Mus musculus: one gene and its partner. The protein of the gene in region 2 binds, or shares a complex with, the protein of the main gene of each other region. Links are inferred from orthologs where the notes say so. Each region holds a gene or a part of one and is shown on either strand. Other genes may lie near its edges.

Region 1 (4,025 bases), about 130 kb from region 2:
GTTTATTCAAGAGTTACTGAGGCCAAAAATTACCCAGTGTGATCATGGCTCATATCTGTAATCGTAACAATCTAGAAGCTGAGCCAGGAGGATTACTGCGAGTTTGAGTCCAAGCCAGGGTGTCTAACCTTCACCCCCTCAAAAAAAATTTTTTTTTAATTTAAAATTCACCCCTTACCACCAGAGGAAAAGTTATTGTGGAGTGTCACATATACATGCATATCTATATCAAAAGCGGGTGTGTGTGTGTGTGTGTGTGTGTGTGTGTGTGTGTGTGTGTGTGTGTGTGTGTGTGTGTAGCTGGCTTCTAACCTGCTATGTGTCTGCTTCTTGCTTTGAACTCCCTGCATCTTTCCCCCAAATGATGGCATTTCAGAAGAACACCAACCACAGTCTGCCTTCAATAGATATTGTTTTAAGCAAGTTTTGTTATTTTAAGAGTTAATTATATCTGTTTGTGAAAGCGATGAAACAAATGAACAAATAAAAAATACTGTTGATGCTGAAACTTGAAATCAAACTCAAATTTTGGAGTGCTCAGACAAGTGCCATTGGTCCATTAGTCTGGACCAGCAGGCAAATTCCCCGGGTCACTGAAAGATTCTGCCCTGTGCCTGCCCATCCAAGTGAGACAAGCATGCCTGGTGGCAGTTTGTTTTGCCTAGAATGAACTATTCAGTTCTCAGTCCTGCTGGGGGCGAAGCTGGGCGAATGGATGGCACTTTTAAATCATTTTTTGGTGGCTAAAGCTAAGGCTGCCTGCAGAGCTGATACTTTCCATGTTTTCATATCTGATAAGCCTCCTCTTTGAGGGTCTGGGGGTCGGTTTTTGCAAGTTCCGCTTTCTGGTGGAGTCTTGGGGGATCCACATATGGCGTGAGTTTGGCACATCTTCACTGCGCTCACCCGTAGGAGCAGCTCCGGAGGAGTGGGGAGTGGTGTGGAGGGTCTGGGGGAGGGTGGTCCTGAATGGGAATGGCCGGAGTGATGGAGGGTCCCAGGTAGGGATGATCCGGGCAAGGAGGGTGGGGGTGAAGAGGGTCCTGGATGGGGAGGGTCCCCGCCTCAGGCGTCTGGGGTGCCTGCAGTTTCCTGCCAGGGCGCGGCAGTGTCCGCCCCAGGCCACAGCGCAGCGCAGCGGAGGAGAAACGCGATAGGAGGCAGCAGCTGGCCTCCCACCACCCTAAAAATAATCCACTCGCCGGCTGCTGACCCGGGAGGAAAACTTGTCGTCCCATGGAGTGCGTGAGCTCCTCGGCTTGCTACAGAGAGATCCCCAACCACTCTGAGGAGTCACTGGCTGTAAGCTGTTGATTTTGATCTAGTATTCCGTCAGTAAAGGCATTCGCTATTTCTAGGATTCAGGGGACTTGCTGGCGAGAAGGTGGGATCAGGTTTCCAAAGTTTGACTTACACAATCCTGCCGGCTGGAGCCGAAACCGGCTGGAAACAGGGAAAGATGTCACTGATATATATATAGAGAGAGACTTTGTTAGCCATTCCCCTTTACAATTCACGCAGCAGCTTTTTCTCTACTAAATTTGTTACTCTTTGCTCTTTAGGAGAAATTTACATCTTCAGACGGTGGGCAGGCTGTTGGTAGCTCAAGTGCACCAGTAGGGGGACTAAGCCCTGGAGCCAAAGCCAAGGTATATTTATTTATTTATTTATTTATTTATTTATTTATTTATTTATTGTTTGCTTGTTTGCTCCGCGTTGGTTACAGTGTCTAAAAACAATCTTATCTGCGCAGGGGTCCCCAGCATTGTCTTTCTTGTGTCACAGAACGTCATAGCCCCTGGAGGGTAAACGCATGGACTAAGACTCGATAATGGATCAAGTCCGTGGTCATTTTCTTGCTAGGAAATTTCCTACTTGGATCTGTATAGAACCAGCCAGACAGCTAGTTAGACAGCCAGACACATCTACGCATTTTGTGAGGTCTCCACTGAGCAAGTTCAGTGAAACGATTGCAGCATTTGCTTTGGCGGAGGGTGGACATCCTGGGCACGTCGTGGGTGGGTCGTCGCTGCCTTAGGTGCCTTTCAGAGGTGAGCTTCTCATTCAGGATGCTTTGCCTAAGCGCTCAGTAGCTCAGGGGTGAGTTGTTCCACATGCAAGAAGGAAAGCTATCCCGTGCATGTTTGCTTTAGATGTGTCCAGAGCCCGAGCTTGGCTGACACTGTCAATGGGGTCACAACTGACAGTCGCTGCCGGGTGAGCAGGGAGGTGGCTGCTTCTCACTCAGTCTTAAGTGGCTGGCAAAAGTAACTAGCGTTTAGTTCCTGATATCTTTTAATATCTTAGCAGTTTTTGGAATTACTTCAGTTAACCTTTGTTCCTCTGTAGAAGTATCAGAAGAGTTGATAGATACATTACTAGAGTTTTGAACGGATACCATGTTTTATGCATACCAGGGGCTGGGGAACGTCTCACAGTGCAGGGCCAGGGCCAAGCACGCTGCTGTTGCTATTCTCCGCAGGAAACAAGAGGACTCCTCTTCCCTCTGTGTTCTGTCCTGCAGGCTACCCCACAGCCAAAGTCTCACTTTTGATCTGTTTTGAAGTTGGCTCCTTCCAAGTCCCCATCCCCAACGACTCTTGTAAGCACTTGACCGCCTTCCAGAGGGATTATGCTCGTGGGGAGAAGATGGGCTGCTTTCCCCTATGGTCCCTTTCCTCCTTGTTGCTGTCACTTTCGTGCACAAACTGAGCCTAAACAGATACAGGGGGAGGGGCACCAGCAATGGATGGCAGGTGACAGTCTGACCCTCAAGAGCATCAGTGTATGGCCTTCCTCAAGTGCTTACAACAGCCTGAGCTCTGGAAGGGAACCACAGACCAGACGCTGTTTGGAAATTTAAGGATTTATTAGAAGGCTGGGGTATAGTTTGGTTTGTAGGGTGAATGCCTGACATCATGAGGATCTGGATTCAAATCCTAGAACAAGATGCACAGATGTTCACACACACACACACACACACACACACACACACACACACACACACCATCTTGATTCAATATCTTTGATGGACACAACACCTAATATAGTATCTGCAGTAAACTTCCTCTTTTCCTACTTTTGGCTGTTGATGTAGCTGGCTATTAGAACCTTCTTCCTGCACAGTGGCTTTAGAGAAAGGAATCTGAAGGTCAAGAGGGGTGAGTAGAAGAGATGTCAAAAGGAAACATGGACATCTGTGTAAGGAGCAGAGAGGGTGGGAAGCAGGGTAGGGCACAGAGGTCATAGCAGAGGGAACAAAATCTAGATGTTTTTGTGGAATGCTATCATAGAGCTAGGGACAGGACATGTCGTTCAGTGACAGAGCATTGGCCCAGCATGTTTGATGCCTTGGGTTTGGTCTCCTGCGCTGCGCTGCACTGTGCAGACAGACAGACAAATAAGCAAGTAAATGACTTAACGTCTCATTTTGTCATTTCCACTAAATGAGGGACTAGTCTTAAAAGCCTCATTGCTGGCTGTTATTTTTTGATTGGTTTTCCATCTTTATCAAAAATATTTACTAATGTATATATATGAACATATAGCTTCCATTTTGTCATTATTTAAAAAAAATTCAATTCTTTCTCCCATATGAGTTTTATGAAGTGGTAATGTTTTACCAAATCTATAGTCAAATCTTTTTAAACTATTTGTTTTAAAAATATAATTTTATAAAAAAAAGACCTCAACTAGAGAGCCTATAAGTGACTTAATAAAAAATGGGTTTATCAGACATAATCTGTGTAAGAGACTATATACAAACATTTGGGCTATAGCCATACAAGCTTTCCAACTAGTTACTTATATTATATTCAAGCAATGATTTCTACAACATTTGAGGGGAATTTGATTTTTCCAACAATTTATGTACTGTTCTCTGTGTCATATTATTTGTCTTGTTTTTAGGGAAAATATAATGTCCATGACTAAGTTAATTATCAACGAAAAGAAAAATAAGAAAGGTACTATTTGTTGATGTGATATTAACTTTTAATTAACCCAGAATCCAACATAAATATGGA
Region 2 (4,203 bases):
TCAAGGCCAGTAAGTCCATGAGAGAGACTCAGCATTACAGCATCAAATCTCTTAAACACAGCCGAAATATTTAAACACAGAGAGGACTTTGTTCTCCATGTCCCTAGTTGTCTGCTCACCTGGGGTTCTTATTCTCATTGTTGTTGAGGCAAAAGCTTGAATAAAGAAAATCCTATCTGCCCAGTGGTAAAGCCCAGGTCTTTCTAGTACATTGCTCTCATGACAAATCTGAGCTGGAATCTGTGTGTGGTCTAAGGTGATGTCTCTCTTTGACATGTCGGCCTGGCAATTACTTGGCCAAGTGGAAGGGCAAGTAAGATCATGAGGAGCTCTGCTCCCAGCTATGGGTGTCTATGCCATGCTCTGCTACTTTTATAGGATCCAGGACCGCTGGAAGTCCTTTCCTGCCTGGCTGGAGCGCCCTCAGTCTCTCTGCCTTAGCAATTATGTCTCCACCCAAAGAAACAAACTAAAAAGTTTGCCCCATTGCAGTGTTTGGGGCCTCTTGGGAATAGAGAAGAGAGACGTGGAACCCCAGTGCGTGTTAGCTGACTTTGAAGCATCCCTAAATGCAGAAGTCAAATTTAGATAACCTAAAAGCTGCCTTGTTCCTGCTCTGTGGAAGCTTTGGAAAGAGACCTCAATATCCACTTGCTGTCTATTCAACCCCGTTTGTGAAAATCTGGACTAATTTTCACTACAACTCTCTCTTCTAAATTTTAGAATAAGCTTTAATTTTTTTAAATCTAAAAAAATCTGTCAGAGATGCCAAAATAACCTTGATAAAGAAGGGCTTTTATTTACTTCTGTTATTTTATTTTTAGTGTATTTTAAAATTAAGACTGCTTTACAGAAAAAAAATATTTCTTGTATTTGCACAGTGCTTTGGATGGACTGGGAATATTTCCTGGTGCACACTGGACATCCTTGTGGTGAAAACGAACTGTGGTTTTTTTTTTTTGTTGTTGTTGTTTGTTGTTGTTGTTGGGGGGGGGGGAGTCAGGAATTCTTTGAACCCATCCAAGGTCAGCACAAAGAAGCAGTCGCACATTCTCAGAAACCTGTTGGTAAAACTACATTTACAAAGACTTTAATGTGCTAACTTCAACCCTGCACCCTGTATTTGCTTTTTGTTTCTGAACTGCCCAATGAAGACCCTTTATTTCACAATCGACTAGCTGAAAGAGCTTTTTATTTCTACTTTGCTGGTAACTCCATTTCATTCTTACCTGACATTGGTCACACAGACAGCGGACTCCAGGCCACTCTTCTCCATGGTGCCTTTCTCCATGTAAGCATAGATGTCCCCGTGGGCGAAGGCCACCAGCCACCACATGATAGCGAAGAGCAGCCAGCTGCAGAGGAAGGACATGGTGAAGATGACCAGCGTGTGACGCCACTTCAGGTCTACCAAGGTGGTGAAGATGTCCTGCAGGAAGCGACCTTGCTCTCGGATGTTCTTGTGTGCCAGGTTGCAGGCTCCGCTCTTGGCGATGAAGCGGGCTTTGGGGAGACGGTCGCGGATGCGCGGTTTGCGCAGGTTCTCCGCTGCGATGCGCGCCAGCACATACTCCTCCGGGATGATGCTCTTCCTGGCCAACATCTTCCTTTCACCATAGCCCGCCTATGCACCTGCCTGAACCTGTGGCTCCTTTCCTCCACACGCGTCCTCCTAGACTAGAGAAACGCTTATTAAAAACTGTCAACTTCATTTCCTCGTCTCAGGTATCTGTACAAAGGGATGCTGTTTTACACACATATTAAATTAAAGATGTGATCAATACAAAAGAGAACCCACTTTGTGTCTGAGGTCTGGGATCCCAGAGAAAACTTTTGATCAGAACCGGAGGAATCCCCCCCCCCCTCTCTCTCTCTCCTCCCTGCTCACTCTTGGAAATAACCGCTATAAGCAAATCTTTAAGCATTTTCTGTATATTCTTTTGTGTCTCGGGATTAGTCAGGCAAGCCTGAGGACGAAAATTAAAGGCCAAGTGGGTTCACTATCTACTTGCTAAACTATTTAGATAAAGTAGCAAGGTTAAAAGGAAAGATGGAGGGATTCTTTTAGTAGCAGCGAAGAAAACTGCTTCCTGTTCATTAAGAAAATATTAACTGTAATTAAAAGATACCAAACATTGCGTTTTCGAACTTGAAAATGATTGATATTAAATTGGAAGGATTTACGAGATGCGTTTTAAAAGGCAGCCAGACTCCCCGCCCCTCCCTCTGAACCTATATCATACTATATGCTGGAAAGTAATTTGCGACGCGGGGATTAGAGACACTGCTGAGGTCTGCAGTGGATTTGCACAGCTCGAGCCAATCTGGGTACACCTTGACTGTTTGGCTTTGGGCTGCGCTATAGCCGGCTTCCCCTCCTCTCCCCGGGAGGCGCGATGCAACTTACAGACTCGGGTTTGCGCTCCCGGCTGCGGCTTGAGCTCCGCACAGGGCGGGCTGGTCCCAGGCTCTCGCATCCCGGGAGCAGAGACCTCCCGAAGTGCAGATCCGGGGGATGTTGGTCCTCCAGAACTGAGTTAAGACTCTAGAAGGTGCGATCCATAGTGCACGCGGGGAGGAGGGCTGGAAGATGAGGGTTGGGTTTGGCTTCCCCCCTCCTGCTGCCGGGCCACGGGGAGGGCGGGGTAGGAGCTGGGGATAGAGGTGCTAGTGGCCATGCTCCGCCAGCTCCTCAGCCGCCTAGCTGGGGCCAGACCTCCGAGCGAGCCGGGGAAAGTGGAGGCGGAGGCCAGTCGGGGGAGCCGGGGAGGCAGGGAGCCGGCCAGAAGGGAGGGACCACCGGGGGAGGAGGCACCAGCCGAGCCAGCTCGGTTCCCAGTAGCCCGGATTCTGCTGCCAGACCGGCACACACATCTTTAAAAGGCTCGCTGCTCAGAGAACTTTCTGAGCCCAAGTTCACTGACGCAAAGAGATTTTAATTTATTATTTTTTAAAGTGTAACTTGCGGGGGGGGGGTATCACTGGGTTACTTCAGATGAAATAAAACCAGATAGAGAGAGTGTAGGTGTTTTGGGTGGGGTGATTGTGGGGTGAGCGTGGGGTGAGGGTGGGGTCCCTGCCCTGAACTTGTAAATCTATTCGTGTTAGAATATAGAGGGGTGGGAGGGCTGAAATCCTTTCGGAAAAAAAACCGATTTCACCAACTAAGACCAGTTTTCAGGCACTTAAAGTCACACAAAAGAAACAAAAAGGGAAACAAAGATAGAGACTAACAACAAAAACACCATCAACAGTCTCTTCCAATAAAGAAAATTTACACCCAGCAGGACGGCTAAGCAAAGTCCAGCACCACACCTGCCTTCGGGGCAGGCAGGCGCAGTCGCGGCTCCGTTTTGACTCTTGGCCGCAGGCCTCTCCCTCCAGTCTAGATCGTAAGAATGATAAGACTGCTCACTTGCGCACAAGAAAGATTATACAGTAAATGTCTTTCTATAGCTTTTGAGAAGGAGCGGGGGTGGGGGTGGGGGAACAAATGTGCTTTTTTTCCCCCCCGCCGGTCATCCTGCTTTTGGCGTTTGTATTAATGGAAACTTTAATTCTTGGAAATTTTATGTTTTCCAAGACTTGAGGGTCGGGAGTATCCGAAGTATAAACAGCATGTTAATTTACTAGAAAGACCTAAAATTAGTCTTTAATGAAGGAAAATGAAGAGCCCCCCTTCCCTTTTTCCACTGTGGGTAGATCTGCTTAACCCCTTGCATTCTGGAGGGCCTGTCCTGTCAGTGAGATTCTTTTTGTTTCCTTTGTTTTCTGCAGTAATTCATGTTGTAGCCTCATAGCAGCCATGCAGACAACATTTGTGCTGTGAGTTCTGCCACTGAAATACAGTTTGAAGTGCACCTTGCTGTGCAATTTACTGTCTACTAATTTAACACCAAAAACATTAAACTCTTTTTTTTTTTTTTTTCAGAAGACAGGGTTTCACATATTCTGAGTTGGCCTCGAACTTGCTGTGTAGCCTATGGTGACCCTGAACTTCTAATCCTCCTGCCTATCTTCCTTGTGCTGGGATCGTAGGTGTGTGCCATCATGTCTGGGGTTTGTTTTGTTTTGTTTAAGACCTTGTGCATAGACAACCACTCTACCAACTGAACTACACGGCTACTCCTCTGTGCTTATGTGATTTCATTGCTGTCCTTTGAAACAGGAAGTTGTTATGAAACCCAGGCAGACTGATAGTTT

The links. The genes of interacting proteins can lie anywhere in the genome.
Region 1: the proteins of Kcnj8 (region 2) and Abcc9 are in contact, whole or in part, in a cryo-EM structure (PDB 7MIT), measured with the Rattus norvegicus proteins. The link is inferred for Mus musculus from reciprocal best matches to the Homo sapiens genes KCNJ8 and ABCC9. Residues at the interface, in NP_058795.3 of Rattus norvegicus: Met1, Leu2, Lys5, Ile7, Ile8, Pro9, Glu11, Tyr12, Val13, Leu14, Ala15, Arg16, Ile17, Ala19, Glu20, Asn21, Leu22, Leu45, Ala46, His47, Lys48, Asn49, Gly54, Arg55, Phe56, Leu57, Asp59, Ile60, Thr62, Thr63; in XP_038963045.1 of Rattus norvegicus: Phe5, Ile10, Tyr13, Asn14, Ile15, Val19, Asn22, Cys24, Phe25, Ala28, Leu29, Val32, Val35, Phe36, Phe39, Phe42, Pro43, Ile44, Phe46, Ile47, Gly48, Trp49, Gly50, Ser51, Lys55, Gln57, Ile58, Asn129, Phe130, Lys132.

What each region holds. Positions count from the first base shown.
Region 1 is NC_000072.6:142,699,441-142,703,465, reverse strand, and holds the start of Abcc9 (ATP-binding cassette sub-family C member 9), read left to right. Parts: upstream 1-1,191; 5' UTR 1,192-1,302; intron 1,303-1,562; 5' UTR 1,563-1,649; intron 1,650-1,906; exon of another isoform or gene 1,907-2,051; intron 2,052-4,025. UniProt on the Homo sapiens protein: Subunit of ATP-sensitive potassium channels (KATP). Can form cardiac and smooth muscle-type KATP channels with KCNJ11. KCNJ11 forms the channel pore while ABCC9 is required for activation and regulation.
Region 2 is NC_000072.6:142,568,777-142,572,979, forward strand, and holds the start of Kcnj8 (ATP-sensitive inward rectifier potassium channel 8), read right to left. Parts: upstream 2,839-4,203; 5' UTR 2,408-2,838; intron 1,678-2,407; 5' UTR 1,604-1,677; coding exon 1,230-1,603; intron 1-1,229. UniProt on the Homo sapiens protein: Inward rectifier potassium channels are characterized by a greater tendency to allow potassium to flow into the cell rather than out of it.